Arabidopsis thaliana: one gene and its partners. The protein of the gene in region 3 interacts with the protein of the main gene of each other region in a pairwise test. Each region holds a gene or a part of one and is shown on either strand. Other genes may lie near its edges. The genes, in order: NF-YA5, AT1G74840 and HD2C.

Evidence for each region.
Region 1: the proteins of HD2C (region 3) and NF-YA5 interact in a two-hybrid assay, tested with the Arabidopsis thaliana proteins (one large-scale study listed by BioGRID).
Region 2: the proteins of HD2C (region 3) and AT1G74840 interact in a two-hybrid assay, tested with the Arabidopsis thaliana proteins (one large-scale study listed by BioGRID).

What each region holds. Positions count from the first base shown.
Region 1 is NC_003070.9:20,214,178-20,225,228, reverse strand, and holds NF-YA5 (nuclear factor Y, subunit A5), read left to right. Parts: upstream 1-5,776; 5' UTR 5,777-6,040; intron 6,041-6,496; 5' UTR 6,497-6,522; coding exon 6,523-6,981; intron 6,982-7,007; exon of another isoform or gene 7,008-7,066; coding exon 7,067-7,240; exon of another isoform or gene 7,241-7,268; intron 7,269-7,354; coding exon 7,355-7,648; 3' UTR 7,649-7,893; downstream 7,894-11,051. Other genes in the region: CID3 (CTC-interacting domain 3), read left to right, coding at 310-415, 518-673, 777-901, 1,017-1,207, 1,884-2,061, 2,159-2,380, 2,454-2,581, 2,648-2,711 and 6 more; SPL2 (E3 Ubiquitin ligase family protein), read right to left, coding at 7,926-8,202, 8,287-8,406, 8,589-8,710, 8,802-8,963, 9,052-9,150, 9,378-9,749; TAFII21 (TATA binding protein associated factor 21kDa subunit), read left to right, coding at 10,360-10,620, 10,863-11,051. UniProt on the Arabidopsis thaliana protein: Stimulates the transcription of various genes by recognizing and binding to a CCAAT motif in promoters. Involved in the blue light (BL) and abscisic acid (ABA) signaling pathways.
Region 2 is NC_003070.9:28,110,795-28,121,716, forward strand, and holds AT1G74840 (Homeodomain-like superfamily protein), read right to left. Parts: upstream 6,629-10,922; 5' UTR 6,524-6,628; coding exon 6,241-6,523; intron 6,078-6,240; coding exon 5,869-6,077; intron 5,713-5,868; coding exon 5,407-5,712; 3' UTR 4,649-5,406; downstream 1-4,648. Other genes in the region: BOR5 (HCO3- transporter family), read left to right, coding at 76-355, 457-576, 681-740; AT1G74820 (RmlC-like cupins superfamily protein), read right to left, coding at 1,088-1,771; AT1G74830 (myosin-binding protein, putative (Protein of unknown function, DUF593)), read right to left, coding at 2,675-2,880, 2,977-4,399; PTAC2 (plastid transcriptionally active 2), read right to left, coding at 8,443-8,776, 8,877-8,981, 9,073-9,387, 9,686-10,922.
Region 3 is NC_003076.8:977,664-988,972, reverse strand, and holds HD2C (histone deacetylase 2C), read right to left. Parts: upstream 7,115-11,309; 5' UTR 6,980-7,114; coding exon 6,967-6,979; intron 6,635-6,966; coding exon 6,564-6,634; intron 6,487-6,563; coding exon 6,275-6,486; intron 6,162-6,274; coding exon 6,112-6,161; intron 5,999-6,111; coding exon 5,859-5,998; intron 5,646-5,858; coding exon 5,553-5,645; intron 5,417-5,552; coding exon 5,323-5,416; intron 5,224-5,322; coding exon 5,012-5,223; 3' UTR 4,684-5,011; downstream 1-4,683. Other genes in the region: ATCSLA09 (Nucleotide-diphospho-sugar transferases superfamily protein), read left to right, coding at 1,693-1,803, 1,907-2,043, 2,132-2,245, 2,333-2,532, 2,612-2,806, 2,901-3,063; AT5G03750 (E3 ubiquitin-protein ligase), read right to left, coding at 3,476-3,649, 3,729-3,954, 4,068-4,177; CTR1 (Protein kinase superfamily protein), read left to right, coding at 9,313-9,960, 10,136-10,437, 10,535-10,676, 10,894-10,997, 11,133-11,309. UniProt on the Arabidopsis thaliana protein: Probably mediates the deacetylation of lysine residues on the N-terminal part of the core histones (H2A, H2B, H3 and H4).

The DNA of each region.
Region 1 (11,051 bases), on a different chromosome or scaffold from region 3:
TCTATAGTTCATTGATAATTCATAGCATACTTTTTTCCCTCGGAATGTGCAGAACATTCAGGTTACTTCTCTGTATAGGGTTTAGTTGACGAACCCCTAGTAATATGGAATTGACTGTGACATTCTATCTAAAAAATATAACTTTTACATCGCATTAAGAAATCTAAAAGAAGTTTTGATGCCAGCAAGAATGCGAATTGGAGGGCCAGTTTGCATATTAGGCTCATCGTACCGTGAGACGGTTATCTTTATCATCTTATTGAATAACCCGTTTATTGATATTTTCGTTTTCTTCAGGTTAAAGCAACTATGAAGCCTGTTCTTCACTCGGGTTCTTCATCCAATGGATTTTCACACAGGAGATTTGAAAAGGAGGCATGGATGAATAACGCACAGCCTTCTGTTGACAATACAGGTTTTGTATATATATTTCGAGACATATACATATATACCTTTACTCTGATGTAGCACCAACATCATGTTCTGCGTTCTCTTGTTTGTTGATACATATGTGCAGAAAACGGTTGGGACGCTGAAAGTGTGGATACCCCTTCTCAGAAGCTGTTAGTGTATTTCACAACTTGTAATATTGGACATCAGGTAGAAGTTCATCTCAAAAATGGATCTGTTTACAGCGGCATATTTCATGCTGCTAATGTGGAGAAGGATTTTGGTAAGGCTCTGAATGAGAACCTGTTTGTTCCTTTGAGATGGTATATAATATAAGAAGAGGTCACATTTTTTTTATCCCTTACAAACTGCTATGAAACTTTCAGGAATCATTTTGAAAATGGCATGCTTGATTAGGGATTCACGAGGAACCAAATCCCGTACTGTCAGCAAGCCATCTTCAAAGCTACTCAAAATCCCTGCTGACGAACTTGTGCAAGTTATAGCTAAGGTATGTACTCCTTTCTTGCAGATGGGATTGGGTTTTATGTTCACATGAATGCAACAACATAAGACTACTTGGTGTTTTGACATTATTATTCTTTCGTCATTGGTCTATTTGTTAGGACCTTCCTCTATCCAGCGATAGCGTCTCAGATTCTGTTCAGTGCGAGAAACCTTTAGAGCTGTTGACAGACTCTCTGATATCACAGTTTTATAATGTTGATTTGGAAAGAGAGCTGAAACCTTGGGTACCTGATGAAGATGTTCCAGACTGTTCAGATCTGGAGAATGTGTTTGATGATCCTTGGAAGAGGTAATGATGCTATTCATTAAAGTAGGATATTTACCTTTTTGTTAGGATTTCTGTTTTCTGATATAGAAACTGTTTTCTCTATTTCATTTTCCTCTGTGTTTACTTTTGTGAACTAAGTTAGAAAGTGCTTTGGAGGTTGTATCGGGTTAGGCTGAGGGAGACAACATCGTTTTCTCGATTTCTATTCTTGGTACTATGATTCTTTTTTTAATAAAAAGAGTTTTGTATTTTATTCATGTTCTTGATTCTTAACTCTAACAAGTAGCCATAGATTTATTTATCCCAGTTCAATTCCTCCCATTGGTTGGTTAGGTTGTGTAAGCGGGCTACACCGCCTTGCAGTTGGTTGGACCAATATGGGGTTTTGGTGGGTTTTGCGAGTAGGCCTGTCGTTTATAAAATTTTCATTTTTCTTTACTTTAAGTTTAATTTTTATACAGAATCAAATAGAAATATAGTATATAATACATGTAATTTTCAAAATAAATATCATTTTACTTAGTAAATTGAATATAAAAAAGCTTTTTACATATATTGAAAATTACATGCGGGTTAGTGTGAGACCTCTGTCCGCAGTTAGTTAACCCTGTTCTCTTTTCTTATTCTTTCATCATGTACACTTCCTGGGTTAACGACACTTCTCATGACATCTTATATGTGTGTGATGATATCGTAGGGGCTGGAATCAGTTTGAGGTCAATAAGACATTATTTGGAGTAACAAGCACTTTTGATGAGGAACTGTATACCACAAAACTTGAGAGAGGTCCTGGAACGAGGGAGCTAGAAGAGCAAGCCTTAAGGATTGCGAGAGAGATTGTGGGTGAGAATACCCGAGATATTCACGTAGCAGAGGTGAATTATGGATGTCTTATGTGACACTGAATTTTTACGTTTTATTGTTGTACCATATTTCACCTCTAATGGTCATGCGTGCAATCATCTTACACAGGAAAGAGGGCTCCAGCTTAGTGGAAAGTTTGATATTGATGAGGAAACCAAATACTCATCGGTCTGTGCGACTAATAGATTTGATGATACGTGTTATGAAGACGATGAAGAAGAAGAAGAAGATATATTATTGGATTGCTGCAACAATTTGACTTTTGGTGATTCTTCTGCTTCTGATGGCAAGGAACCTGCTTCAACTGGCAAATTCTATGAAGATTCATGGGTATGGTTGAGTTCTTCACTCCTAGTAGTTTCTAGGAGAATCATAGGTGATATTGCCATTTTTTGTCCTTCAGGGTGACAGCCTGCATTTACGGAGTAACAAAATGGTAGATCAGAGCTGGTCGAACTCAAATAAGCATACTCGCCAGCTTATGTCCGAACTGCCATCCAAAGATTTTCCTGTTGCAGGAAACAACATCAGGTCTTTTTCCCTTTGAACATACAAAATATCTTTCATTGAACTAGTTTCTGAAACTCATTCTGATAGGAATGAGAGCCAGCTTGGTGAGCAAAGAAAGAGCAAATTCCTAGGGGCTTCCCTTTTTAAAAAGGTATAAAGTTAAACGACGCACCTTGTGTTGATTTGGCATTTGCTTAATGGAACATTACATATAACACTGTTCTGTTGGCTTCAATCTGTATTAACGCAGCCATCTGAGGAATCAGTGTCTGGTTTTGAAGGTATGTGCAACTTCAGCTTATCGAATCTATCTACTCCCGTTTCATCTTATATGTTGATACCAATTGAATTTCCTACTAAGTTTTTAATTGCCACCTCAATGAAGATGCACCACCACCTGTGAAGCCAAGTTTCATTGATGGAAGACTCGGTCTACTCTCTGACAGAGCAAAGTCTGAGAACTCTTCTGGGTGGCCTGGAAGCTCCATTTCTAGAAATTCAGAAAACTCTGCAGCTTCCTCAGCATCAAATCTTCCAATACTGTCACCAAGCTCTTCGGGTTCTTTATCATCAGAAAAATCCACACTCAACCCAAATGCTAAGGTTTTTTTCTTAGTGCTTAGGTTATCATCTAATATCTCCTTAATACTATAAGCTTTTTACTAACGAAATTAGGTCCGACCAGGAATTTAAACTGAACCCTAACGCAAAGAGTTTCAAACCATCTCCATCAGCAACACGTCCTCAATCTCCTCAATCTCCAGTCTTTGACGGATCATTCTATTATCCTCCTGTTCCACCCATGCCAGGACTACATATTCGATACGGAGTAACTTTTCTTTATTCTTTATCTAGTGATCAACGCCTAAATTACTCTTTAAGTCTCTGTTATTATGTTTCTGATTCACTAAGTTGAAAATTGACAGACGGGAGCAGCATTCCCTGGGCAACAACACCCAATGATGTATAACAATACAACACAGCTTAGTCCGAATCAAACATATTATTCTCCAAATAGTCCACAGGTTTGTTTATTGCTATTAATAGTCATTACTCTTGAAAACTCTTTACCTTCTCTCTATTGTAAGACTGAATTTTGGAATCAATGTTAAAACAGTACCCACAACCGATGATGGTTACTCAGCAGAGACCAATCTTGTTCATGCCGCCAACGCCATACCAACCGGTTTACTACTTTACTTCAAAATTCTTGTTTTGTCTAGTTACAAAAAAAAAATGATCAACAGAGTTAGATTTTGCTGACATCTTTGATTTTATTGCAGGAGATGCCATACAAAGGAAGAGACTCTTATTAGCTTTTGGCCAAAACCATGAATGGTGGTGGCACAAGAGAAGGTCTCGAGCTGATGGAATTGGTTTCATTTAATGTACTTTATTTTTATTTATTTCCAAAGCACCGAATCTTTTCATTTTTATTCTAAAATGAACACAATTGATGTGATGGTGATTTAGTTTGTTTAGGTATTAGACTAGATTTTACATTAGATTCGTGCTGATCTCATTTCTTTATTCACTTCTGTTGTGTCTCCCTATTCAAACTTTAACGTTAAATCTTTTAGTTGTATGACATATTCTGTGTGGAGTTTGTTTTATTTATATAAAAACAGTTAGGTAGGAAAAAAAACTTTTTCATTTGTGAAAAGGAAAATCAACGATTGTAGTTCAATCTTACATATACGTGTTAAGACATGGTAGGGAAAAAGTGGAGTGCGTCTATGATTGGATTTGAAAGCGTAATGTTTAAAATTTGGAACTATTAGATTAATAATGGGTTTAGTCTTGTCTTGTCCTAAAATGCATATAAATCTTATTGCGGTGTGTTAAGGATCGAGGTTAGGGGAGATTCGAAAATATTAACTTTGTCGTGTTTGAAAATATTAGTTTAAGTAAGTCTATAAACATAAACATAGGTAAATCAAATAATTGATTTCTAAGAACTTCTAGATACTGTTGATATATAATAATAATATTTGAAGTAACACCTGTAACTTCCCTCGTTCGAAGCATGATAGTTACGCATTTCTTTTCTCTAAAGCAAATAAGTAAAAGGTACGTGTAGCAAACAACAATTAATCTTCCCCACAATACAAAGTCTCGTATTACTTCAATTATTACTAGTTAAACAAAGTGTCATTGTAGTGAACTACAAATAGGTGTCCAAGAAATAGAAATGTTGCTATATACTATATTCTTTCTTTTGGAGTGTATTTATAGTGTTTTTTTGTCTTCCTTATAATTACTATTCAGAGTTGTGGATTAAATGCAGAGAGATAGTGCAGAAATTACGATTCATTGCTGCTTTGTGTTGGGGAAGCTGCATCAAGAAATGTGAAAAAGGGCTCTTTCGCTTTGCTTTGCTTTGCTTGACTTGCAATAATATCAATTACCCCAACTACAAATATAAAATATTTTTAATTTATTCGCTTAAATGCTACTATATTGATTGCGCTATAAAGAGATGTTGACAACCTTCCACTTAAACTTTTGCTTTTTAAATTAAAAAAACACCTTCTTAAACAAAAACAAAAACAAAAAGACAGAAAAAAAAAGTACGCTTAGATAATACATAATTACATATCTTCAACTATATAAACAATGTTTTAGAATTCTGCACATTTTTGTTATGAAACAATTAAGGAATATGATACTTCAGATACCCTCTATATATTATTTAGAATCTTTGAACCTTGTAATATATATGCTGAATAGAATCGCATATAAATTGATAAAACATCACTGATATGAACATAAAAATAAAGGTGTTAAACATCTTTGAAATAAATGGAAATATTTACCATAAACATTTTTACTTTGGTTTTTCTTGTCTTCTATTTTCCTTCCTAACATTTTAATACTATCATTTATATATTTAGATATATTTCTAGCCTTGTCTAGATTATACACGCGTCACACTTCTAAATTTATATCTATCTTTTACTAGATTTTTCTATTATTTATTGTTGCCTACATATTTCTATTTTGTTTTGTAATAAAACTAAACCTGATTTGAAAATTATAAAAGCACTACGTGACACGATTTGATTCGATATACTTAATTTTTGAAACATAAACAATATAAACAAAGATAAGAAAAAATACCACAAATAGAAATGTCAAACTCTGCAAATAAATTCAGAAATGGAAACAAAATAATATTTTAAAATATTTAATAAATTGTGTGTGAATAAATATGCATTTGTTGAGAGAAGAAAACCATAATTAAAAAAAAAAAAAGAGAAAAGGAGTCAAGATTAGTCTTTTAAGCCATAGCCAATACCCAATTTGCAGAGACAGAGGAAGAGAGAGAAAGATAGTGAAGAGAAAGAAACAACCATGTTCTGAGGAAGGAGACATGCATCATCATCATCATTCATCATCATCATCATCATCATAATCTCAAGCTTATTACTTAACTTCTTTTTCTCTCCATCTCTTCTTACCAAATCCAAAGCACCAAAGGTCTCTCTCTCTCTCTCTCTCTTCTTGTTCGCTTAATTTATTTGGTAGTGATGTTATGATTTGGTTGCTCAGTTTCTACTTATGATGATATAATTAAAAATAATAATTTTTGAGTTATGAGAGAAAAAAATCTTTTGGTTGGTTTCTCTGTTTTCTTGGATCATTAAGTTCAATGAGATTTGATGAGTTTTTTTATCTGTTCAAACTCAGAAATTTAATCTGTCGATTTTAGTTTTTGTTTGCATGTTGTGTAAGTTCTAGCCATGTTCAAAGTTTGAATCTTTTGGAACCCTTTAGATCATGAAACAATCTTACTGTGTCATTGAACCTGGAATCTGTGTTTTAGGATTGCTTTTATAATCTTTTGGTATCATTTCTCTCTTGTATTTGTTGATTATGTGGATCATGAATAATATCATATGATTTATGACTGGACTTGTTGGTTTGGACATTTAGTTTATTGAAGTAAAGATTTGAAGACAATGCAAGTGTTTCAAAGGAAAGAAGATTCATCTTGGGGAAACTCAATGCCTACAACAAATTCAAATATTCAAGGATCTGAATCTTTCAGCTTGACTAAGGATATGATAATGTCTACAACACAATTACCCGCGATGAAACATTCGGGTTTGCAGCTGCAAAATCAAGATTCAACCTCATCACAATCTACTGAAGAAGAATCAGGCGGCGGTGAAGTTGCAAGCTTTGGAGAATATAAGCGTTATGGATGCAGCATTGTTAATAACAATCTCTCAGGTTACATCGAAAACTTGGGAAAGCCTATTGAAAATTATACTAAGTCAATTACTACCTCGTCGATGGTGTCTCAAGACTCTGTGTTTCCTGCTCCTACTTCTGGTCAAATATCTTGGTCTCTTCAATGTGCTGAAACGTCACATTTCAATGGTTTCTTGGCTCCTGAATATGCATCAACACCAACGGTAATATGCTGTGAAGCCTTTTGTGCTTTTACTATTCTGAATCGATCTGGCGCATTGATTGGTTGATTGGGAAATCTTTTTGCAGGCGCTGCCACATTTAGAGATGATGGGTTTGGTTTCTTCAAGAGTGCCATTGCCTCATCACATTCAAGAGAATGAACCAATATTTGTCAATGCGAAACAGTATCATGCGATTCTCCGTCGCAGGAAGCACCGTGCTAAACTCGAAGCTCAGAACAAACTCATCAAATGCCGTAAAGTATGACTGTTTTCACTTTCCATTTTGCCTAAAACACCAAAGAGAAAGAGGGAAAACTAACTCAGAAGATCTTGATGATTTGATGTAATAAAGTTTTGTTTTCTTTTTCTGTAGCCGTACCTTCATGAGTCTCGCCATCTTCATGCTTTAAAGAGAGCTAGAGGCTCCGGTGGACGTTTCCTCAATACAAAGAAGCTTCAAGAATCATCAAACTCACTGTGTTCTTCTCAAATGGCAAATGGACAAAATTTCTCTATGAGCCCTCACGGTGGTGGAAGCGGAATCGGGTCTAGTTCGATCTCACCGAGCTCCAATTCAAACTGTATCAACATGTTCCAAAACCCGCAGTTCAGATTCTCAGGTTATCCGTCAACACACCATGCCTCAGCTCTCATGTCAGGGACTTGAGGCACATGAGAAGACCTTGCTCCGAGAGAACTCAGGCTAAACTCCGGAGACTGGTGATGATACATGACGGGAAGTCATCCTTGGCTACTTATGTTATCGGTTACAAAATTTCTTCCTTTTAAAAACTTTGCTTTCATATCCTCTACAATCTCTCACTCTATATTGAGTGACTTGACGAACTTTCAAATCATTGTCAAACTATTTTGTTAACTTCCGATTCTCTGAGAGTACAAATTGCATTACCCTATTACATACAATGAGAGAAGATTCAGGGTCACTAAGAGTAATATACACGCATAGATCCCCTAATGCTCTGAAGACAAACTGGACACTTAGGGTTTAACTCTCGTTCCACGGTTGAAGCACATCGCCTGCAACATACTACATGTCCACAGGGAATAAACGCAGGTACTCTCCTTCTTGACACGCAGATCACACACAATTCTCCATCTGGGATTTCATCTGCATCTTCGGGTTCATCATCGACCACAGAATCGTTCGGTCTCTGTGGCAGTTCTCTCTGATGGTTCCATTGTTTCCATTTATTCCAGGTCCTGAAGATAAGACAGTTAAACAGATTTCAAATCGAAACATTGCCCAAATCTAAAACCAAATCTGATCTCTCACAACTCCAGTACCTGACAGCAGCATAGCTAAGGATGCCAACAGACACAATGCCCAAGATAACGCTGCCCAAGAATATAAAGTTGGTCTGTTCCATAAGGTCCTCAATCATCTTGTCCTTGGTCATCTCTGATCTGCAAAGATTATTCATAAAGATTTATATATGAACAGCAAATAGAGCCTTTCTGCAACAATGGACTAAATCTTGTCAAATGATCAACAGATTGAGAAAACATAAAGAAGAAGATGAAGTAATAATTTGAGCTAGAACGCAGGCAGATATATAAGAACGAAAAATATTCAGATAAAATCTCACAAGAAATAAGGAAGATCTTGGCACGATTTGATTTCAGGAACTCCATTATTAAAACTGTAGATGCCAACAGCTGTTATATCTTTCCCAGGTGGTAAAATCTTCTCTATATCAAGCAGACCAACCTTGGAAGAGAAAGGATTACAAAGTTAGCCAAGAACAAGTAACCATCAGTTCCTCAAAACCAGAAATTTCTTTGAATATATATATACTCACAGGATAATCGGGGTACAAAAAGGCTTGAAGAAACGAAGAATTAATAGGCTGCAAGCGATTATACACAGTGGTAAGCGGAAGAGGTTGCCTTGAGCCATCCATGTTAACAGCGACAAAACTAGAGTTCGATTGCTGATCCTTTCCAACAATGACAAATGGGACCTGCACAAAGCAAAGGATACACAAAACAAGTTTGATCATGGATACAGAGCCAAAGTTGAAAGCTCTGAAGCTGATAGAGAGACTTTACCGTTCTCGTAAAATCAGCACCGTGTTTGCGCAATGATCTCTCCAACATAAACCGGTGACCAGTGGACTGAAACAATCTCTTCCATCCACTATACACATACTGTCAACAACAAAATGATGACATTAGAAACATACATTTCCCTTCTGAGATCACACCAGTACCAACTTACATAATCCTAACTTAATCAATCACAATGAACACCTAATCATGAAGAAATCATCCAAACTCTTTAACCTAAGCCTTTGATAAGAACACAAAGCAAAATTAGGTCAATGTCAATTGCAATTTGAGGGAAACATAAACACTTAGGGTTTAGAGCAACGTACAGTTTGCGTTCTCTGAATGATAAGAGCTTTATCTCCAGTCTCCGGAGAGATTAACACGTTGTTGTTCTTGTAACCCTCATCACCGGAAATTTTCGGTTTGACGACTCCGCGAACCACAACGATTCGCTGATCATTGCTCTTCCTGTTATCGTTAGTCTCTGATTTGTCTTCAGAAGCCGGAAGCAGTGATCGGAGGTCGGAAATGGAGACTTCGGGTGCATCTTTGATCTTCTTCAACGCGGCGTTGGTAGAAGCATACTTGAGAGCAGAACCGACGGCGCTAACAGCTAAAGTCAGTCCGAGGATTGCGCCGTCGAAGGAGAGAGCGATGTCCGTCAATAGATTCAAGAGAGCACGCTCCGGCGAGGACATTGTGGTAATTTCGATTTCAACGTCGTAGACACGGTCACACGGACAAGTAAACGGAAGAGAAATGAGGCTATTATCGGTATTTAATATTATACATTCGACCGTCGTTCTAATTTGGGTCTTTAATGGGCCTATGCACGAGTGAAATACAAAATACTAGTAATAAATAGCGTTTTAGTTAAATTACATTTACACCCTCAACGTTACAGCAGATTTACAAACCAAAACCATAAATATCAGATCTAGAGTGGCAGAGATTAGTATTTCCCGATTCCTCGCCGCCGTTCATCAATCTCTCCGTCGTGTTTCTGCCACTAGCTCTCCACCAAACTTTCTCTCTCGCATTAGGTATTTATCGCCTCTTTATGGCATATAATCTTGTGTTTTGGAACTTATTGATGAAGCTAGGTTAGAATCTCCTTTGTCTTTCTTATCTCCGATTCGTGAAGCTCTAATTCTTATTTATTCGATTTATGTAATGTGTTGCTGTTACACGATGTTTGCTTGTGAGATTCGATTGAAACTTGTGTTGTTGCAACATCAATTCTGTATAAGAAAGGTTCTTAATTTGACTCTGTAGCTTTACTTTTTTTTTAGTTGTTTAGGGATAAACATGGCAGGAGAAGGTGAAGAAGATGTACCTAGAGATGCTAAGATTGTGAAATCTCTGCTTAAGTCGATGGGTGTAGAAGACTACGAGCCTCGTGTGATACATCAGTTTCTGGAGTTATGGTACCGGTATGTGGTCGAAGTGTTGACAGATGCTCAGGTTTACTCAGAGCATGCTAGCAAACCCAACATTGACTGTGATGATGTGAAGCTCGCTATTCAATCCAAAGTTAATTTCAGCTTCTCACAGCCTCCTCCAAGAGAGGTATGCATTGTTGACGATTCCATGTTTCTTCTTCTTCATTGTCTGAGAAGAGATGCGATATGATCGGTCATTTGGTATATGTGAATCATTAGGGAATTATCACTCTTACTTATGACTTATGAACTGTGTGTGACCCTCTTGCCTCATAAATTGTATCACTGAGAACCTCAAGTTTTTGTCTGTCACATCCATGCCTTTTGGTTCCTGAATCTTGAAGTTTCTGTTTTTGATGTTTGATTTAGGTTCTGCTTGAGCTTGCTGCAAGTAGGAACAAGATACCTCTGCCAAAATCGATAGCAGGACCCGGTGTTCCACTCCCACCTGAACAGGACACATTGCTGAGCCCAAATTATCAGCTCGTGATACCGAAGAAGTCGGTTTCAACAGAACCTGAAGAAACCGAGGACGATGAAGAAATGACAGATCCTGGA
Region 2 (10,922 bases), on a different chromosome or scaffold from region 3:
TGCTCTGAAAATGCTCTGTTTTTTTGTTAAAGGTTTCCTTCAAAGACTGATCATGTGATTGTTTTTTGTTGTTAGGGTCTTGGAAGGAGCGCATGCATCGTTCGTGGAGAAAGTTCCGCATAAGTCAATCGCTGCATTCACGCTATTTCAGATACTCTACTTTGGGCTTTGCTACGGAGTGACGTGGATTCCAGTGGCCGGAATCATGTTTCCGGTTCTTTTCTTCCTTTTAGTAGCCATCAGACAGTACCTTCTCCCTAAGCTCTTTAAACCAGCCTATCTCCGGGAACTCGATGCGGCGGAGTATGAGGAGATCCCTGGAACTCCTAGAAACCCGCTTGAACTGTCTTTCAGGGTGAGTCAATGTCTATATAATATGTACATTCTTTTTATTCTTGATATTTGTCTAGAGTAGTTTAAAGGATTGAGGTTTATCGATTTAACCCTGTTTTAAAGTCGAATAACTCGGCGAGAGGGGTCCAAGAGTGTGATGCTGAGATTCTAGACGAGTTAACAACGAGCAGAGGCGAGCTCAAAGTCCGTACACTCGGTCATAACGAAGACAAAGGCCACCAGGTTTTATTCTTTTTTTGTTTGGGTAAAGAATCTGTATATAGATCGTTGAGTTGAATCTTAGACTTTGTAAGAAGAATTTCATAGACGATCATGTTAACATGCAGATATATCCCAAGGAGATAGTAGAAGTAGGGGATGGGGACATGAGTTCTTCGAGAGAGTGATCTATCAACAAAATAACGATCAAAACCATTTTTGCAAGTGCACATCATGATGGTGGTCATGTGCAAAACATAGATGATATGTGGCTTTTATTTTTTCCTAAATAAAACCCAAGAAGATGTGTTTATCATCTTGTATTTTTCTCTATATATTAACTTTTTTCAAAACTTTCCTAACTAGTTGGGAACTTGGGAGGCTAACGGTAACGGACTTATTATGATGAAAATAGAATTGCTATTGTAAGTATTACTAGATTTGTCCATAAAAAAAAAACACTGACTTTTGTTATTCATTTAAGTAAACTCATAAAAGATTACATTTTTAGAGGAACCATATAGAGACCATTATTTTAAGCAGTAAACTTTGACCTGAGCATGTTGATTGTTTTACTATCCGCCTTAAACGCCGATATCAATACCTCGTTTGGAATCGCGGGTTTCGTAGCCAACAGAGTGTGAGGCACACCAACCTCGCTAGGCAAGTCGTCAGCAACCACCGTCAAAAGACGGCATTGCGTTTTCCCAACGTTCCCCTCGTAATGAATGAGTCCCGGAGGAATCACAAACATATCACCGGGTCCAATAACCTTCGAGTACAACGTGTAGTTAGTCGTTAAGAACCCAACCAAGACCGAGCCTTCGATCACGACCCCTGCCTCGGTTACACCGGGGTGAGAGTGAGGTTGGTTGTATCCTCCAGGTGCAATTGCAACGTTATACATGGATATTCCCAAAGTGTTTAGGCCTGGAAAGGTCAAGAGATTGGCTGGATTAGCGGCAATACCTTTTGGGTTCGAGGTGTTTAAAGGAGTGTTCAAGCCGGAATAAAAGAAGTCTTCAGAGGTGACTTGTGACTTGCAAGGGTAACCACTGTTAGTTGGGGTAGCTTGGAGATCAGCTACACAAAAGTCTTGGAAAGGGTTAAGTTTTAGGGCTGGGAGTGAGAGAGTAGGGTTCGTGAAGAGAGTGATGCATAATGCGAGGAAGATTAAAACTATTGAGAGAAAAGAAGAGATTTGTGAAATATGAGCCATTGCTAGTGAGTGAGATGATTATGGTTGATGATGATAAATGACGATGTTAATTGGTAGATTATATAGCATTAGAGATTAGTTTTTTTTTGGATCGACCTTATAGCTTCATTAGACTAAAATAAGATGGGATTAAAGGAAAACACAAGAAAAGATTAAATCTTTATGAGTGTTGGGTTTAATTTTATGCAATTCTTTAATGGCTTCAATTTTTAAGCAAAGCATATATGGCTATGCCAAAATAAATTAGGTTCAAAATAAACCCTAGCTCACGGAGACCTAGCTAGTCAAGTGGCTAGAGCTATGATATATATATGGCTGAAACAAGTTAGGTACAATTAACTCTCGCTCCTTGATCACTAAATTAAAAATGTCGAATGTCTCCATTTATAAGTTGAAATATTTGATTGTACGTTCTCTATAAATAAAAATATAATAGTTTTAGTTTTAAAATTTGAATTATGAAGGAAAATGATATAATTTATTTATGTTTACATTTTGTATTAGCATTTAAAATTTGTAAAAAAGTCAATCCTTAACGAAATAATTTGTTTATGTTCAGTGTTAAGATTCATTTACACTCAACAAAATGTTTATGGAAAATGAAAATGTTATACCTATTTGAAATGTGAAAATATGTAAGAATATAAAAATCCCATCTAAATACAAACTCAAAATGTTATACCTATTGAAATTGTGAAAACATTTTAGAAAAATTTCACATCTAAATACAAATGCAAAACTGAAAACTTTTTTATTTTTTGGGTATGAAGTACAAAACTGAAACTAGGTTAGGTTCATGGAGCAAACTGAAACTTTTTAATGTGAAAGAATAAAAGAAATGTTTTCAAGTTGAGACAAGGCGTGAAAGCTTGCTTGTTCTCTAAGAAATGGAAAAAAATTGTATTACAAGTTCATGGATTCAGAAGGCATAGCAACAAAACTACGAAGCATGTGCAAATTCTGAGATATCTGCAATAGAATTGCTTCTCCTTCACTAACATCCAAAACATCAGCAATGTGTTTCAATAAATCACCATTTGATTGAAGAGTACTTAGTCTCTCTGTGATCTCTGAAAGCTCTTTTACTATCCCTTCTTTGCTTTCACTCCCTGCCCAATTTCATAACAACAACACAAGATTAAAAAGGGTTTTTAGGATCAGATTAAACAACACATAATGATCAAACTTTGAGTAAAGAATCATACCTTTTTCTTCATCTGCAGAGACAACATTCTCCGCGGTAGACTCCTCTGACCTTTTCGATTGCCCATTTTGATCGATGTTTTCGCCATTTTCCTGCTGATTTGAAGAAGAGACAGCCAAATCCGAGACTGGTTTGGTTTCTTGGCAATCATCATATGCACTAGCATTGCCGTTTTGTTTATGAAACTCTTCCCTTGCATCTTCTTGATCAGTCAAACATCCATATTTCTCTCTGTAAACCTCAAATTCAGCTTCAAGCTCCTTCATTTCCTCTTCCCTCTTCGCCAATTCACTACTCATAGACTGCAAAGCTTCTTGGTCATACTCTGCTTGTTCATCCATCATTCTTTGGTACTGCAAAGCCTCCATTTGAACAGCAGCTTTCTCGGCTTGAAGCCTCGTGATCATAGCCATCGCTTCGTTGGCTGCAACAGCTGAAGCACTTCTCTCTTCATCTAACTCCATATATAAATCAATGAGTGACTTCTTGTCCAAGCGAACCTCTTTCTTGAGCTGATTAAGAATGGATTCACCGGTTGGATCTGTCGTGTCCGAAGCATTCTCTGTCTTATTCAAAACGGATTTCTTAAGAGATCGAACGGACCATCGTGGACTGTTTTGCGCCGAATCAGACAGAGGGATCCCAAAAAACTTGTTACCTCCTCTTACAAAACTTGGTGTTCGGTCCACATCCATATCCTTAAACTCAGATTCGTTTTCAGACAGTTTGTTGTGCGATACCCTAGGAGAAGGAGCAGGAGCAAGGAAAGAATTGTTGTTCTTCGGTAACTTCTCAGATTTTATCTTCAATAATTCTCCACAACACGAACAATGTTGCTTCAAGCTATCATTTTTAATGTTGTTAGTCTTGTAATCCACCAGATTTTTTGTTGTCTGGACTAAATTGTCGTCTTTCTTGAACGCCAAGGGAAGGTCTCGTTCATCGTCAATGAGAAGCTCGAGATCTTTATGTAAGATGCCAATGAGAGACTTATAAGTATCACAGTCAGAATCTTTCTCGGTGGCGAAAGAGAGAAGACATCCTTCACACATATGTTTAATCTCAGAGAGCTTCTTATGGACATGGCAATAAGCAAGAGAAGATACTTTCTTCTTGTGAGAGTCGCAGATTGACTCGTTGTAATAGAATTGAGGGTCTCTAGGGACGAGAATGTGGTCGATTCTGGTGCAGAGAAGACAAGGAATGTTGAGGTCGAAGAATTTGGCGAATTGGTTTGACAGAAAGGCGATAACGCCGTCGATGAAGAGGAAAACAATGAGGCTCCATTCAAGAACAGTGTAGATGAGGAAATGAGGAAGAGATCCGAGTTCTTGTTCCACAAATTTCTTGAAAGAACGTTTAGACATTGTGGCTTGTAAAAGCAGAAACAAGAACAAGAAAAAACAGAGCAATTGTATATACATAGGAGATCGAATTTTGGTCAAAGATCAACAAAGAACAGAGATCATGATCTATCTATCTCAATCTTTTGTGATTTGTGTTTCTATTTCTGGGTTTAGAGAGTCTAGATTGGGCTGGAATTTGATGAGATAAAGTACCCAAAAACAAAGGATAGTCGCAGATTTGAAATTGATAAATTTAGAGACAATGTCAAAAGACAGAGAGATACAAAACAAACAAAGATAAACTGGATTCGTTTTTTTTTTTTTTTTCCCCGCTTAGACGTGAGGAGAAGTTTGTCGTTGACGCTAAAACTGAATACAACCATACACGACAGAAACAGAGGACATGCCAACACACACATGACATACACATATACATCATCATCATATAAAAATGATGCTGTTTGATTGGTCGATTAATGAATGGGGATCATGTTCTGTGATTGGAAGATTATTGCTTACGCAACAGGGGTAATATGTAATCATCCCACACAAAATATATTAAAAGCATCTGATGGGAAAAGAAAAAGCTCCACTATGATGGAAGTGACCAATAAAATTTGACATTATTGGCATCATTAAAGATAATGACATTATTCTACAAACATAAAATATCTTATCCTTGGAAATCAGATATATTATAAAAACCCTAAAACCCCATGAATCATCTAACATGATTTAGATAGCCACATGATAAGCAAGTACTACGACTCTGTTTATGATTGAGATCATGAATAAAACAAACATAACGTTAATATGATTTATAAGTTTTGATAGATCCACACGAATGAACTTAGAGAGTATTACAACAACTTCCAAACATGGAAGGAAAAACACAGGATGATTATGAACCCTAAAACCCCACTTAAGTCCTATCTCCAAACTCTGTTTATTATTCTTCTTTTCAACAGATTTTTTTTAGCCAAATACATAAATTTGACGAATTTTTTTATAACAAAGTCAAGACCTATCTGTACAGCAAAGAAACAAACAGGGTGTGTTGCAGATTTTCACCTTTAGGATAAGCTCTAAGCGACTCCAATCGTGTTGAATGCTGGATGCATTGAAGGAGATGGTTCATTAAGATTAGATGAAGCTAGTGAGAGGTTGAGAGAAAGCGGTGCTGGACTTGACTGAAAAGTTAATGGAACCAAATTGATGAGATTCGATGAAGTAAGCTGTCCGTATGATTGATTCCCTGTTGGTACCGGGAACTCGGGAAAGACTTGCATAACCGGATGTATAGAGAAGTTGTTGATTTCCGGTACAGGAGAAGATGATTGAGATGTGTTCTCCTGTATAAGCACTTGGTGATCTTCTTCCATGGGTATGACCTGATAACAAAACCAAGCAAAATCAGTTTTGTTATACTTAAGTTTTCACTAACCAACAATTCACAAAGGCTCTCTATTAGTTTCTTTTAAACAACTAAGCTAAAAACTAAACCTAACCACTTAACTTACTAGAGTCACAAAGGATTAGAGATTTACCGTATCAGTAGTCATGTCAAAAAGGCTAGATCTTCGGCGGCGACGGTTAAGATTACTTCGCCTGAGGAAGTATTTCTGAGCATGACTAGCAACTTGTGTAGAGGTTCTGGTCTTGACAAAGTTTCTTGATATTCCTTTCCAATCTCCTTTACCGACTCTCTGCAGCCCAAGCAAGAACAGCTTGTGTTCTTCTTCAGTCCATGGAACTCCTAAGAAATAGAAAGAAACCCAATAAATTAGCCATCTTTCTAAATCCAAATGAACATAAAGTTGTTCATAGTCCATTTCTCAAACCATATCTAACAAATCCCTAAGTTTAAAGTGATCAAATTTATGGAATGATAAAAAAAAGTTTCAATCGAAGAGTAATACCTCGTTTCCTCTCGATTTTGCCGTTAGAAGAAGACATGGGAAGAGCTTCATCCGCCGAGGCGTAACCGGCCGGGGTTTTGTTCATATCTTGTTCATCTCTATCTTCGCCGTCGATCTTTGGAGTCTCCGCCGTCTGTTCATAGTCAGACAGATTGTTCAAACTCACGCACTTTCTCATCGGGTCAAGCACAACCCTGACTCCGAACAGCATAATCTCTCTTCTTGTGCCGCTTCCAGCGCAGGCGGTAGTGGACTCCGAAGAACTAGTACTACCGTCGGCCATGATAATCTTTCCGATTTTGCCCCTTGTGCTTTCTTTCTCCTAAAGAAGCAAAGTACACAGAGCAATGGGCAATGGAGTGGTGTGAGTTAGATCTGAGCTTCTTTGGGGACCCTTTTATAAGCCAAAAGCCACGTGGTTCCTTTTTAAACTATTACATGTTGTAGGTGTTGGTGACGGTACCATATGACACGTGTTTTGTTTTTATTCGTCTGTTCTTGTATTTTTTTCTTACCTGCCTGTCTCTCTACAGAGTTTTCATTTGGATAGACTTTTTTTATTCATTGGCTGACTAGATTTATTAGGTTTTTTGTTAGTAGTTTAATTAATCTTATAGGATGACGAAAAAAGAGTTAAATAAATGTTATCCTATAATAAGAAGTTAAAAAAGTATTTCGCTATGTCGACCAAAAAATGTAGGTCGTATAACGAAGAAATATTTATTGACTTTCGCAAACTCAAAGTTAAATACAAAAAAATGAAATAACAGAATGAGAAAAATGAAATGAAATCGACGCTTTTATTTTTCTTAACGTTACCCTCATGTATTTTTATGATAAAAATCTACAGGTTATAATGTACTGGTCAACGCAATGTCTCTAAGGCCTAAGCGCATGCAACTTGAGCTTAGAAAAATAGTCAGCTTCTGAAATGATTCTGTACTCTGCTCTAATAATCTATTTAGTTACAGCTCCATCCTTGTACTTTTTTTTCTTCTAAAATACTATATCTTGTGGATCTATGAGTTGATTATTAAGAAAAAAATCTTGGGAGACAGGTGAATCCTTTTTGGAAATTATAACTTTGAATTTCAACACAAAAACTTACAATTTCAGGAATCTAATTCAACAACAAAAATGATTGTGTAGTCGAATTTGTCGTTTTCTAGCTAAGAGTAAATTTTAAGACGCTGTTAAGGACCTAATTGTAGTATAAACAGCATGATCGTATGTCCAGACTTGATCACAACTATATAGCATTAAAAAACAAAAAGGTGATAGTTTTAGTCTTTTAGTAGAATGTTAGGATGTGATTTGACTGTAAGCAATATGATCACATACTATTATTATTTATCTATTTTAGATTTGTAGGGAAAAGATTCTAAAAAGTATTTACAAAATTTGGTAAATAGTTTTGGAAGACAGCAAAATCACACAAAGCACTAGCATCGGTTAGAAAGCAAAGCCACCATTACTTTTATGCGCACACAAAGTGGAATCTTAAAGTTGTAATGTGTGAAGCACTATAGGAAGATCCTTTCTTTCTCCAATCTTTTTCTTATTTTATTACCAATTTGGATGACAAACTTGTAGTGACTTTCCTAAATCAGAAAACAAACACATATCTGAGGACGAGAGAGAGAAAAAGATTAATCAGACCGAAGAAGGAATCTTGCACAACAGATTGTTTTCTTTATTCTGGGTGGAGTTGGGTCATTGCTATGTAATAAGTTAGATTTCGAAACAGAGAGAGTTCATCAGGTGAGGTCACAAGCAAAAACTAGAGCTTCCCTGAGGAATCTTGATTAATAGATCCTTTAATTGTAACTAGAGCTTTGATCTTACATTAGCATTTAGCTTTATAGTAATCAAAAACATAGTTGAATGGAAAAAAAAACGAAAAAAAATCTATGGCTGCAAAATCATGGGTCTAACAATCCATCAAAACACTTAGTTGGCTACTTACTTGAGATTTTCATATAGACGCTTCTTCATATAAACTAAGATCACCATTTATCTTCTTCTCCAGCTTCTTCTGTCTAACAGAGGTTGACTCTACTGCTTGAAACCATAGCATAGTTATCATGGATATGGAGTGCTTGTGAAATACGCCCACAGTTTTCACCCACCAGTCTATATGGAGGAAGGCAGAAGAGGCCTTTGATTTCTGGACTTGGCAACAGAAACTACGTTGTCTAGTTCTTAAGCTGTGCTCCCTGCTAGTTCTTTTTTCGTCCTGGTTCTTCGTTGTGTAGGGTTACCGCTGTGGTTCGTGTCACTGCTTGTTGAAGCTCTTGTTCCAGCCGCAAATATTGGCGAGTTTGCTAATGCCACTAGGTTTTTATTTTCGGATTCTTCTGAAGTTGGCTCTTTCGTTGACAGTAACTGCTTGAGCTGAGATCGCTGGCACATAATGCGACCTCCATTCCATCCCGTGAAGGAAAATGAGGACGAGACATGATCCTGCAAGAAGGAGAAAGCAGCTTTCGCGATAGGAGATTCTCTTGCAGCAGAGCTTTTCTCCAACTGTCCCCGTCTGAGAGGTTAGAAAGAAAGAATTAAAAAAGGCAAAAGGCAAGATAAAAAGCTTGAAGGCATCTTGCAATGAGGTAGGTACCCAGTATCAAAATACTTACACTGAAACAACAACAGCTAGTTGAGGAAGATCTCCCTTTAAAAGCATATCATTTATATCATTTAGCCAAACCGATAGTGCTGTATACATGCCACCCTCTGACATCCTGCAGAACATTGAAAACCAAGAATTAGATTGACTGGTACTCAACCATTTCATACACATGAAACGAAGCCAGTGTAGGGATCTTAGGCTACCTATGTACATCGACAGACCACACAAGTTTGTTTTTCCGGAATAACTCAGGGAAAAGTCCACGCTTTGTTGCCTCATTGAGTACTCTTGCAGCTCGCTCTTTCTGGCCCAGCCACCACAAAGCATCCAGAAGTGCATTGTAAAACCTTATTCCCAAACCACATCCTTCTGAATTGAGTTTGTCCAACACGTATTCCACTATCTGCCAATTTGAGTCATCATCATAATCTCCCTTGATCATTTGCCCAATAACTTGATGAATATTTGATACTCTATTTGAAAGCATCTCCTCCAATAACTCATTGACATCGTCCCACCTATAAACCAAAAAAAAAATTTGAAGTGTTGCTTAAAATCTTAAGATGTTATATACAAAACAATGGCTAAAGTTACTGCTTATCCAGAACACTCAAGTTAGCTGCAAGAAAATTAACTAGGGTGCTACATTACACTAGCATATCTCCCCCATGCCTGACCATGTATAGACAGAAGGCAACTGAAAGAGCAAAATGCTATGATGATGGAATAAATCATCATGCTTAGTAAGGTATGAGCTATAAAAATACACGCAAAAGAAAACATCAGAAACCGTGTATTACTGGCGAAGGCACTAACCTCTCCGTCTTCCCATAAACAGCTAGCATCATACAGTAGCACATGATACTGGGCAGTATATCAGAAGCTTTCATCTCCTCAAACTGCTCTCTGCACTCATCAACAAGCCGCGCAAAAGAATACACACTTAAAACAGCCTCAAGCGTCCTTTCATCAGGATCGCATCTTGACTTCTCCATATCTACATATGTCTTCACAGCCTCTTCAAATTTGCCTCCTTGCTTGTACGCTTCTATCTGTGCATTGAACGTATCTCTGTTCCTGGGAATACCAGAATCCACCAACCTGGACAAAATCGCCTCAGACTCCTTGACCAGTCCTCCCCTTGCAAACGAATATAACAGTGAGTGGAATGTTTCAATACTTGGATTGCTTCCTACTTCATGCATGGTGTTGAAAGCAACAAGCGCTTCTTCATATAAAGCAGCCTGCCCAAACGCTTCAATAACCCCAGTGTACGCCTTGGAACTTGGCACGATATCGTTAGCTGTCATATATTGTAAGATCTTCCTAGCATCTTCGTGAAGTCCCCCCTTCCCACAAGCAAATATTATACCCTCATATGTCTCCATGTCCGGTTCAATATTCTCCTCCACCATATCATGGAACAAAGTTACCACCTCCTTAAAATACCCCCCTTCCCCAAAAACCTCAATCAAAATGTTATATGTAGCAGCATCAGGATCCGTATTGCTTGATTTCATCTCAAGAAAAAGCTGCCTCACATCATCATACCTCCCACTCTGTCCAAACAAATTCAGCAAAACACTGTATGTATTTGCGTTCGGCGTACACCCTGCAGCTTGCATCTGATGGAAGACCCCCATTGCCTCCTTAATAGACCCGGATTTCGCATATGCCTCTAACAACACATTATAAGAAGTGATATCCGGCAAACTACCGCCGGAGGCCATCTCGCCTAAAAGATCACATACTTTCTCCAGCCGGCGTAACTTCCCAAATGTCTCAACTAGATGACTATATGTGGTTAAATCCGGAACAATCCCACCATCATTCATAGTCCTAAAAACCATTTCAGCCTCATCACCTAAACCTCTAATAGCACAAGCACTAAGCAGTGTATTATAAGTCACGATATCAGGTTGTATCCCCTCATGTCTCATCTCTGCAAACAAACCCAATAAACCCTCCCAATCTAAACCACCTCTAGCACAAGCATTAATCACAGTGTTGTAAGTCAAAATACTAGGTGATATCTTTTCATTCTTCATCCTAT
Region 3 (11,309 bases):
AAATCATCTGATCGCACATTATAAGTTAAATAGATAGATATACTTATATGCTACTGTATAATGTTTTTCCTTATTGTTTCTTGGGAAATTATGATTTTTTTAATGGAGGACTAAAAAAAAGAGAGAGTAGAGATGGGTCAAATTAATACTATAACTAGATATAAATGTAAGTGATAAACGATAACCTATGAACGTGTATTATATAACACTATATAATATTAACACATGATATGTTAAGAGCTCCTCCCATTATAGTAATTTTAGAATCATGGAGTTTTAATAATTTTGGTTAAAAAATATGGTTAGAAAAATAAAGTTTTAGTTACATTAACTAGAAGTGTCGGTGGGTGTTTTATTGTGAGGTCCCAATGTAACCTACCTAGCGAATATTGATATTGACGTATCCATTTTGTTCTAGCTTTAAAATGTGGAACTACTTTTTCTTTAACGATAAATTTAAATAATTTGTTAGTTAAGGATACGAAATTAATTTTTAAGGATCTAGGAGGCATATAATCTGGGACAATACCCCCTTCTAAACTAATTCAATATTTGACTCACCAAAAAAAAACTAATTCAATATTTAATGAAAACAAAACATTTGGAAAAATCTCTGAAAACATCAACAAATGTAAAAGTTATTAATGTTTTTTGGTCAATTTGTATTTGGTATGTCTGCAAGAGTTGGTGAAAATTTGGTTTTGGTGTTTTGGCTTTTTCTTCCAATAAATTGATTTTCCACTCATTTCAACATAGTAATGTTCTCCTCATATTTTAGTCAAAGTAAAAAAAATTATTTTTTGTCAAAAAAAAAGAAAAGAAATTATTTGTCAATAAAAATTGTCCACCAATGTATTTATAACTTCTGGCACCCAAAAAGCTGTCACGTATTTTGTATTTTACTAAGTAATTATCCACCATAAATAGTGGCTACTATAACCATTCAACTCTTAACTTTTCTAGACCAAATTTAAATCATACCGTCTCTTACTTGTATTTCCAAATATTTCATCGTAAATACCAAAATTAAACAAGATGAAATTTAGGAATCTAATTTGATCAAAATTACTAAATTAGAGTAGAGTTTAGTGGAATAGCATCACTGGCATCGTTGTCGTGTCCCATAATTGAGTGCAGAGAACATTTTGGGAAGTGTAGGCCACACAGGGGCAATGATTTCTCATTTAGTAGTTCAAATAGTATGGGTAGATTTGTCATTTTCACTAGATCCGCCACGTGTACGTAGCCAACACCATCCATCTCCCTCCATGTGCAACAACGTGGGACCCAGCTACTCTCTTCTACTACAACTAGTCTCTGTCACTCTCACTCTCACCACTCACTTTTTTTTTTTTTTTTTTTTTTAATGTTTTTATGTAAAAAAATTGTTTTTATTATTTAATTAGATCCTGAAACGACTAATAATTGAAAAACTTCGATAATTATGCTTTTAGAGGAGAGAAACTTACAAAATAAAGAGATCATCATGTGACAAAATCTAACGAGCTGTTGAAATCTAATTGGGTTTGTAGTTGAGCTAGGTGTCTATCATTTCATAATTGATTTCCAATTTCACCAACTTGTTTATTAATGTCTTTCATTAATACCACCACATTTATTGTTTTATTTTTTTATATTTTTTTTTCCTAAACAAAATAATTGAATTCCACTATTTTTTCAACTTTTTTGCAGTAAATTCGGATGAATGTTTGATGACAAGGATGCAAGAAATGTCTTTGGATTATCATTTTACGGTGGAACAAGAAGTTGGTTCTTCTACTTACGCTTTCTTCGGATTCAATGGTACTTTTTTTTAACACACATTTTAAATTAAAATTTTGTTAGAACATGTTTTGAACCGTTTTATTCATAAGTTGTGAATGTGTTTCGATACAATAAATTATAGGAACTGCGGGAATATGGAGAATATCGGCATTAAACGAAGCTGGTGGTTGGAAAGATAGAACGACCGTGGAAGATATGGATTTGGCCGTGAGAGCTAGTCTCAAGGGTTGGAAATTCTTGTACCTCGGTTCTTTGAAGGTAGTATAATATATTTTTTATAGACTATGGTTATAGAGTCACTTAAAGGTTGACATGTGAAATAATTATTTGTTTAAAAAAACTATAGGTTAAAAACGAGTTGCCAAGTACATTCAAGGCTTATAGGTATCAACAGCACAGGTGGTCATGTGGTCCAGCTAATCTTTTCAGGAAAATGGCATTCGAAATCATGACTAATAAGGTTTCCTTCAATCCCTCTACACGAATTAGAAAGTCTTTAAGATACAATAACATAACAAAACTGAACCGGTTTACTTTCTTTTGGCAGAACGTGACTTTGTGGAAGAAAGTTCATGTGATATATAGCTTCTTCGTGGTTAGAAAGCTAGTGGCACACATTGTTACCTTCATCTTCTACTGTGTGATCTTACCCGCTACAGTTCTTGTACCGGAAGTTACTGTTCCGAAATGGGGAGCGGTTTACATTCCTTCAGTCATTACTCTCCTCAACGCCGTTGGGACACCAAGGTAAAAAAACATTTTCGGAGAGTTTCTTGGGGCTCAAGTCTTATTAGGGTTCTAATTGTTGGTTACATGTATTTTATAGGTCATTGCATCTTATGGTCTTTTGGATTCTGTTCGAGAATGTGATGTCTCTTCACAGAACAAAAGCTACCTTTATCGGTTTACTCGAAGGAGGAAGAGTTAATGAGTGGATTGTTACAGAGAAGCTGGGAGATGTTAAGGCTAAATCAGCCACCAAGACTTCAAAGAAGGTTATTCGTTTTAGATTTGGAGATAGGTAAAAAACTTCTTCCCTTTTTCAATTTGATTTCGGTTACTGGTAAACTGTACCAAACCAATTCTAATATTACCTTTTTTGTGTGTTATGGCAGAATTCATGTGTTGGAACTCGGTGTAGGAATGTATCTGTTATTTGTGGGATGTTATGACGCGTTTTTTGGGAAGAATCATTATTATCTATACCTTTTCGCACAAGCAATCGCGTTCTTCATTGCGGGATTCGGGCAAATTGGGACAATTGTGCCTAACCATTGAAGGGAAAAAGGAGTTTTCGAGCGACGAATTGCTCGAGGATAAGAAGATGATTTGTTTTCTTTCTTTTTGGATTCGCTAGCTATTTAAATTCTTGTTGGTGTGAATAGAGAGAATTGATGATACCATTGTTACAGAAATGGTGTGTGTAGTGTGGAAGATAAAGGATACTTATAGTAAAGAAGAAATATACTTTGAAGGTTTTTTTCAGATTCCTTGAAGGCAAATGATTTTTGACTTATCGCTAGACAAAAGAACTTAACTGAACAAATAGATTCAAAGCTTTAAACAATTTATGGATATTGTAGCTATATAGATTTTATAACTAATAGTAGCAATCAAAGATAGAGAAGTTGGTCACTTTACATATATGTTTGCTCTTCAACAAACTGTTTTTTAATCTCTACAACAACGATCATGGAGATTCGCTTCTAAGAAACTGGAATCTATCATTGGTTAAGAGACCGAGCAGACCCGAGCCATTGAGGTTAGCGTATTTCACATCTTGAAGCGGAAGTTGACTTGACAATGCGAACCGTTGTGAGACAGCAAAAGACCAAGGATCTTGCAAGATGAGTTCACGGGTGGACTCATCATACGATGCAAAAAGTTGTGTCATTTCCTCGCCAAAGTCTAATCGCCGTTCTTGGCAAACTGATGGCATCTACTATAGCTTGTGTGGATGACTGTTTCTGAGAATAAGAACCATCACCTCTTCTCTTGAGACAAACATGAAATCCATCTACAATATGAACCGAATTGCTTGTTACGTCAGCCAACGAAACCAAAGGTCCTCTGTTTTGACGCATGTCAAATACTAAAACCATTCCATTCTGTAGTCCAGCATAAACATTGTGATAGTTGTTGAGATCCCAAGAACAAGACAAGGTGCAGCTGGTAGACGAACAACGCCACCGTTGGTCCAAACTTCCATACAGATCGAACATAATGATTCTTTATCCTCCTGCAATCCTGAAGACGATGATGAACAAACACTTTCTGATGACCTTCTTTGATACTCACTCTCGTTCTGTGAAACCCTAGGTGAGTCTACCACATCGATGTATTGGCTAATTTGGCGTTCTTCTTCCTCATCAGGTTCATCGAATACTTCCATTGTTATTCCGACATTACCACAGACGAAACGCCGTAGTCGCTGCATTAAGGCAAAACCCAAAACTTAGCTTCTTACAAAACAGAGCAATCTGTATATAAAGAGCAAAGCAGCTTAAAAAGTAAGCTCGATTAAAAGAAAACTAATACTTGCGTTTCCTTTTTTTCTTCAACATGAAAACCGCAAAAAAGGAAACTCTACATGAAAACCAATTAGTATTATGATTCTTGGTGTGATTTGGTTAATTCACAATCAGAGAAATACGAAGCGGAAGTTGGAAACCTTTGGAAGACAGCAAAAGTGGAAGGAACACAACAAGTTTATTAATTTTAACAAAATAGAGGGGAAATGCAGGCTGTGGGGTTCGAACCCACGCGCACTTATGTGCAGAAGAACTTAAGTCTTCCCCCTTAACCACTCGGGCAAACCTGCTTGTTATTATTTTTCTCTTCCTATTATATTTATATACGCAAACTGGTGTAGTAGCTGCATATTAACCACAAGCCCTAAAAATCCTTAATTTCGGGTCCATTAGATTATGTTACAAAGTGACATGCTAACTAATCTTCAATCAATGTATGTTTTGGACAGAGAATTTCAAATGTAGATTTTCACTAGAAAAGTCTACAAAAAGACTTAATATCCATACCACTAAACACAAACAAAGGTTTAGCACAGTTTCAGCTACCAAAACGATAAAGTTAAACAGGAAGAAATGCCTGAAAAAAAAGACCAACTAAAACTGGCTCACTCGCAAGTTCCAGATTTAAGTACCAAAAGACATCAAAGTTCTAGAGTAGATATTATAGAGAGTAGTCATCATGCTGCTTCTTCTTCTCAAGCAGCTGCACTGTGTTTGGCCTTTGTGTGAGACTGCAATCCCATTTCCGAAGTAAAGGTTCTGGTGCACGACTTGCACCCAAACGCTCCTGCAGACTTCGGTGTCTGCTGCTGCTTCGATGTCTCTCCAGTGCTGCCTCCACCAGAATTCTTACCCGCCTGTTTTGAGGGATGAGGAGTTGCAACATGGACATGCGGTTTCTTCGAATCTGCTTTGTCCGAATGTTTTTTAATTAAACAAATCAATCTTCCTTTCTATCGTTAAAATAAGTATTCAATGGGGAGATTGGTAAAAAGGATTTAATCACCTGTTTTCTGAGGAGTTACAAACTTAGCCTTCTTGTTGGACGCAGGGTTCTTGGAGGAGTTGGGTTCTGCAGACCTCTTCTTGGGTTCTTCAGGCTTTTATAAACCAAGAAAACTTAGAATCAGATTCGAGCTTGACCACAGAAGCAGAGAAATTGCTCCCAAAGGAAGATAAGATAGAACAAATATAGGTTTCCCATCAACAAGCACATAAAAGAGACTGTCATGTTACCTTCTTTGGGGTTTCCTCTTCTGAGGAGTCATCTTCTTCGTCGTCTGATGAGTCATCTTCCTCACTGTCAGATTCAGCAGTAACCTTCTCTTCCTGAAACAAAGCAGCCATGATAAGGATTAAAGAAATGTGAGAATGGGCTAAAACACAATAGGTAATCAAGGGTTCATGTGAAAATGCAAATATAGAAGTTACAAACATACTTAAGATAACTCTAGTACCACTGTCTATAGGTTTAATCAACATGTCACTGAGCCTAAGTAAAATTCTATAACAAATTGAGCTAGTATATATAGATAAAAGTACCTCCTCGTCTCCAGAGTTTTCACTATCATCATCATCTGAAGAATCTTCTTCACTACCGTCAGCGTCATCATCTTGCTTGGCTTTGACATCTTCATTTGGCAACTGAAAGTTCACCTGTTTCGCAGCAGATTTCGGAGCAGCTGGCTCAACCAAGGCCAAATAAATTTATAAGAGATTGATGTTCTTAAATAAACTAAAATAAGACAACTGGAGACAAATCATTGCAGGACTGGATATAAAAGTCCCCATTTACCTTTGAAACCAGCAGCCTCAAGTTGATCATCAATCAAATCCTCAGGCTCGGTGAGATAGAGTCAAGGAAGTCAAAAACAGAGTAAAGCAACAAGTCCCCAAAACATTTTCATCAACAAAGCTTAAAGCGATAACAACAAAAATGTTCAAATAGTAAAGGATATGGATCAGATGCATCAACTTTGTAACCAGAGAAGAAAACGCTCCCATTCTTCCAAGTATGAGACAGCGCAAAGTTCCTTTCCAAGACAATCTCCGTAGACAGCTGAGGAAACTTCTCATGAGATAGCGTTCCAATGAGAAGCTTATCCGATCCAACAGTCACGTAAAGCTGGATTGGTTCGGTTACATTGTTCTTACTCTCTCCCAAAGCAACCTTCAACAAAAATAAACCAAACGTCACTGTAAAATACATTCTTATAAATCAAATTAAGCTTGCAAATTCAAAAGTACCTGAGAGATGTGCACGAGCCTGTCTAGCCCAGGATCTAGGTGAAGTGGTTTGCCATTCTTAACTTCAACACCTGCAAACGCATAGAAAGCATACAAATCAGTAATTCTGCAACAAAATCCCCAAATGAAACCTCTATCGGAGTTAAAACCTAGCGAGAGAGAAAACTTTTCAGTTTTCCCCAATTTTCTACGAAGACGAACAGTCCATACCCTAGATTGTCACATATACTCACTATTCCCGTTTCTCGTTTAGCTAAACAGAAGATTCCATAGAAAAAACAGTAGAAAAACATGGCAAAACGAAAAAAAGCGATGAAACCAGAAGCTAAAAAAAAACTAAATGCAGGAAATGAAGCGCAGAGAACGAAGAAGAAGAAGGAGTAAGATAGGAGATGTTTTTTACCCCAGAACTCCATTGTTGTGCGAGGTAGTGTGATCTTGAAGGCGACGATGCGTCGAAGGAGAAGGAGAAGGTTCTAGAAGAAGCTGAGAGCGATTCGTCTCTCGAGAGCGGTTTTAGGGCGTGTTGATGTGAGAAGGCTAAAATGTCCGCTGGAATTTATTAATCGGAGGAAGGGATTTTAGGGATCCTCTGTTACGCGGTCCACTCGAATATCTCCTTTAGTTGGGCCATGATTTTAAAATTAGCCCAACAAAACTAACGTTTCAAGCCCATACTTTATTTTGACGGCTTTTTTTAACGGTGTCAGGACGGATCGTAACGGACTTTTAACACTTTATTTGACTGACGGAGTTTTCGTCAACATGTGGGGTCTATATATTCATGTCTTCATGACAATATCTATCTCCATTCCTCAAAATAAGTCCCACGGATAAATTGAGCATAATGTATCGCAAAGTTTTAATTTTTTTCTAATCCAAAGAAAAACCAGTTAACAAAATCTGTGAAGAGTTTATATGATAAAACTAAGTACGGTCCCCGACTACGAATAATTAAAATTATTAAATGGATAGTTGCACGAGTGAGAATTAAGGAACACTATTATTATATTAAACACAATTCATTTTAGTTAGATCTATTCGGGGCCTCTCGTGTTTAGATTTAGAAGAGTTCTCGGCATGAATCATGAACATTTTCCAATGCTCTTAAATTTATAGTTTACCAATATTATACTCCGGTTTTACATATCACACATAATTTCGATTTTTTTCAACATATGTGATCATAATCAATTGTTAAGTTTTAATTTATGCGCATAAAAAAATATATGTTTGTATAGTAGTTAAGGAGAATTTTTTTTTGTTATGTTTTAGCACTTTTTGGATTAATACTAGTTTTAAAAGTATGATTTTTTTTTTATTTTTTTTTGTGCACAAATATGATCAAACCCAAAAGTTTCTTTACATAGTAGCAACTTTATATTCTCAGCAGCCATGGCTAAAAAACGTAAGTTAATGACAAAAATGCGTTGAGTGCAATGAACCTGGCAGTATTCGATGAACCTTAGCGGATCAAATGATATAAATATGCAATAGAATTTAAATATTTATTTATTGTCCAAGCTGCGTGGATAGCTTGATAGATAAATTAATGACAGCACATTGACTACCCAAGCTGCGTTGATAAGTACTTGATCAAAATCTTTACATTTTTATGAAGTACTATAATCCAAAGTTAACTTTTAAGCAAAAGATAATTTTTTGTAATGGTTGTGAAAAATTCACTTATAATAACACGAAACATAATGAAGTATTATTAGTTCATTTATATATAATACACAAAAAACATAAAGGCAATAAAAATAACCAAATTAAAAAAAAATGGAGAAGTAGAAAAGAAAACGAAAAAAAAAAAAAAAGAGAGAGATAAGATGCATGCATGGTATAGAAGTCGCAGGCCGAAGACCAGAAATACGAATGTGTTTGAATAGACAAATTAAGGAATATAAAGACAGAAGAGCCCATCCATTTTCGCATACACGAATACATCCCCCTCGACTCCAATTATTTTATTATAGTCCATTCTCTCACTTTCTATTCTAAATATTGTGGACGTTATAAAGGCTTTTTATTTATTTTATGTCGAGTTTTTTAGACTACGTAGAGCCGAATGAAAATTTCATGTTTAGGTATACGAAACTTGGATCCAATGTTACGGATTCAGATTGGTGTAAAAGATCAAATTTGATAGTATTTGGATTTGATAGGCAAGATGGTTTAGTATTTTACACTGTGTATGTTCCTCTTTTAGCTTTGCGTTTTCTACTTTCACTACGATACTACTTTTTATCTTCCAATTTCAGTTGCTTATCACCAAAATATGAAATACCAAATTAATTGTTTAAACAGTTTTATTAGCGATTAAATTAGCACAAAACATATGAATAGATATCATAGTCGAATACAAAAATTAGACAAATAATAATACACTAAAAAACAAACTAAATTGGAGAATTGTTTTGACAAAAAATAAAAAAAATGTCAAAGTTCCATAAAAAGGAGGACAAAAGAGGAATATAACGAAATTATCAACAGAAACGCACCGAGTAAGTTTATTTCCTATGATAACGCAAAAACAAAAAAAAAATCCAATTCCATTAGAGAGAGAGAGAGAGAGAGAGAGAGAGAGAGACTTTTTTAAAAAGTACAAAAAAAAAATGAAAAACTAGAGAGAGAAACAAGTGGCTAGCTAGCTCGCCAAACTTCTTCAACAATGGCGGTTTCCTAGGGTTTGATGTTTATATGATCGGGAAACTCTCTCATCTAGATCGCGATAACTCTCTTTTCCATGGAAATGCCCGGTAGAAGATCTAATTACACTTTGCTTAGTCAATTTTCTGACGATCAGGTGTCAGTTTCCGTCACCGGAGCTCCTCCGCCTCACTATGATTCCTTGTCGAGCGAAAACAGGAGCAACCATAACAGCGGGAACACCGGGAAAGCTAAGGCGGAGAGAGGCGGATTTGATTGGGATCCTAGCGGTGGTGGTGGTGGTGATCATAGGTTGAATAATCAACCGAATCGGGTTGGGAATAATATGTATGCTTCGTCTCTAGGGTTGCAAAGGCAATCCAGTGGGAGTAGTTTCGGTGAGAGCTCTTTGTCTGGGGATTATTACATGCCTACGCTTTCTGCGGCGGCTAACGAGATCGAATCTGTTGGATTTCCTCAAGATGATGGGTTTAGGCTTGGATTTGGTGGTGGTGGAGGAGATTTGAGGATACAGATGGCGGCGGACTCCGCTGGAGGGTCTTCATCTGGGAAGAGCTGGGCGCAGCAGACGGAGGAGAGTTATCAGCTGCAGCTTGCATTGGCGTTAAGGCTTTCGTCGGAGGCTACTTGTGCCGACGATCCGAACTTTCTGGATCCTGTACCGGACGAGTCTGCTTTACGGACTTCGCCAAGTTCAGCCGAAACCGTTTCACATCGTTTCTGGGTATTTGTTCCTGTTAAGCTTTGTTTCCCAAAATTATTGAATCGTGGTTATAGAGATATGGTCCTCTTGTTTCCGAAGTTTCAGTTAGATCTCCTTACCAAAAGTCTATTAGTAGCAAATGAGATATGTTGTTTAGATACATTGCAGAGTATGATTGTTTTGTGTGCTGCATCAGGTTAATGGCTGCTTATCGTACTATGATAAAGTTCCTGATGGGTTTTATATGATGAATGGTCTGGATCCCTATATTTGGACCTTATGCATCGACCTGCATGAAAGTGGTCGCATCCCTTCAATTGAATCATTAAGAGCTGTTGATTCTGGTGTTGATTCTTCGCTTGAAGCGATCATAGTTGATAGGCGTAGTGATCCAGCCTTCAAGGAACTTCACAATAGAGTCCACGACATATCTTGTAGCTGCATTACCACAAAAGAGGTTGTTGATCAGCTGGCAAAGCTTATCTGCAATCGTATGGGGTTTGTACTCATACAATCCTTACTATCCCTTTGAACTTATATTTTTATATCTTCCTGTGATTTCTCACATTGTACTCGTTAATTCTTGCTTCCCCAGGGGTCCAGTTATCATGGGGGAAGATGAGTTGGTTCCCATGTGGAAGGAGTGCATTGATGGTCTAAAAGAAATCTTTAAAGTGGTGGTTCCCATAGGTAGCCTCTCTGTTGGACTCTGCAGACATCGAGCTTTACTCTTCAAAGTGAGATCCCAACTTTGATGCTATCCCCATGACATTTAAGACATCTTGTGAAATGATCATATAAATTATTGTGCTTCATCCATTTGTTTTTATTGGAATACATATGAAGAACGTTGAATGTGAAAAGTGGTGTTATTGATTAGAAAAAAATAGGTTACTGATAGTTGAATGTTCCAAAGAAAAAAAGTATTTTATATCTTCTATTTGGTGCATGCAGGTACTGGCTGACATAATTGATTTACCCTGTCGAATTGCCAAAGGATGTAAATATTGTAATAGAGACGATGCCGCTTCGTGCCTTGTCAGGTTTGGGCTTGATAGGTATGATACAAGTGATTGCGAAAGAGCCTTTATTTTCCTATTTTCTTTGCTTTTTGTTTCTGGAAAAACAATTATAGCTCCAAATGTTTCGCAGAATATTAGGTTGATGACGTGGAAAATTTGTTTTGGTTTCAGGGAGTACCTGGTTGATTTAGTAGGAAAGCCAGGTCACTTATGGGAGCCTGATTCCTTGCTAAATGGTCCTTCATCTATCTCAATTTCTTCTCCTCTGCGGTTTCCACGACCAAAGCCAGTTGAACCCGCAGTCGATTTTAGGTTACTAGCCAAACAATATTTCTCCGATAGCCAGTC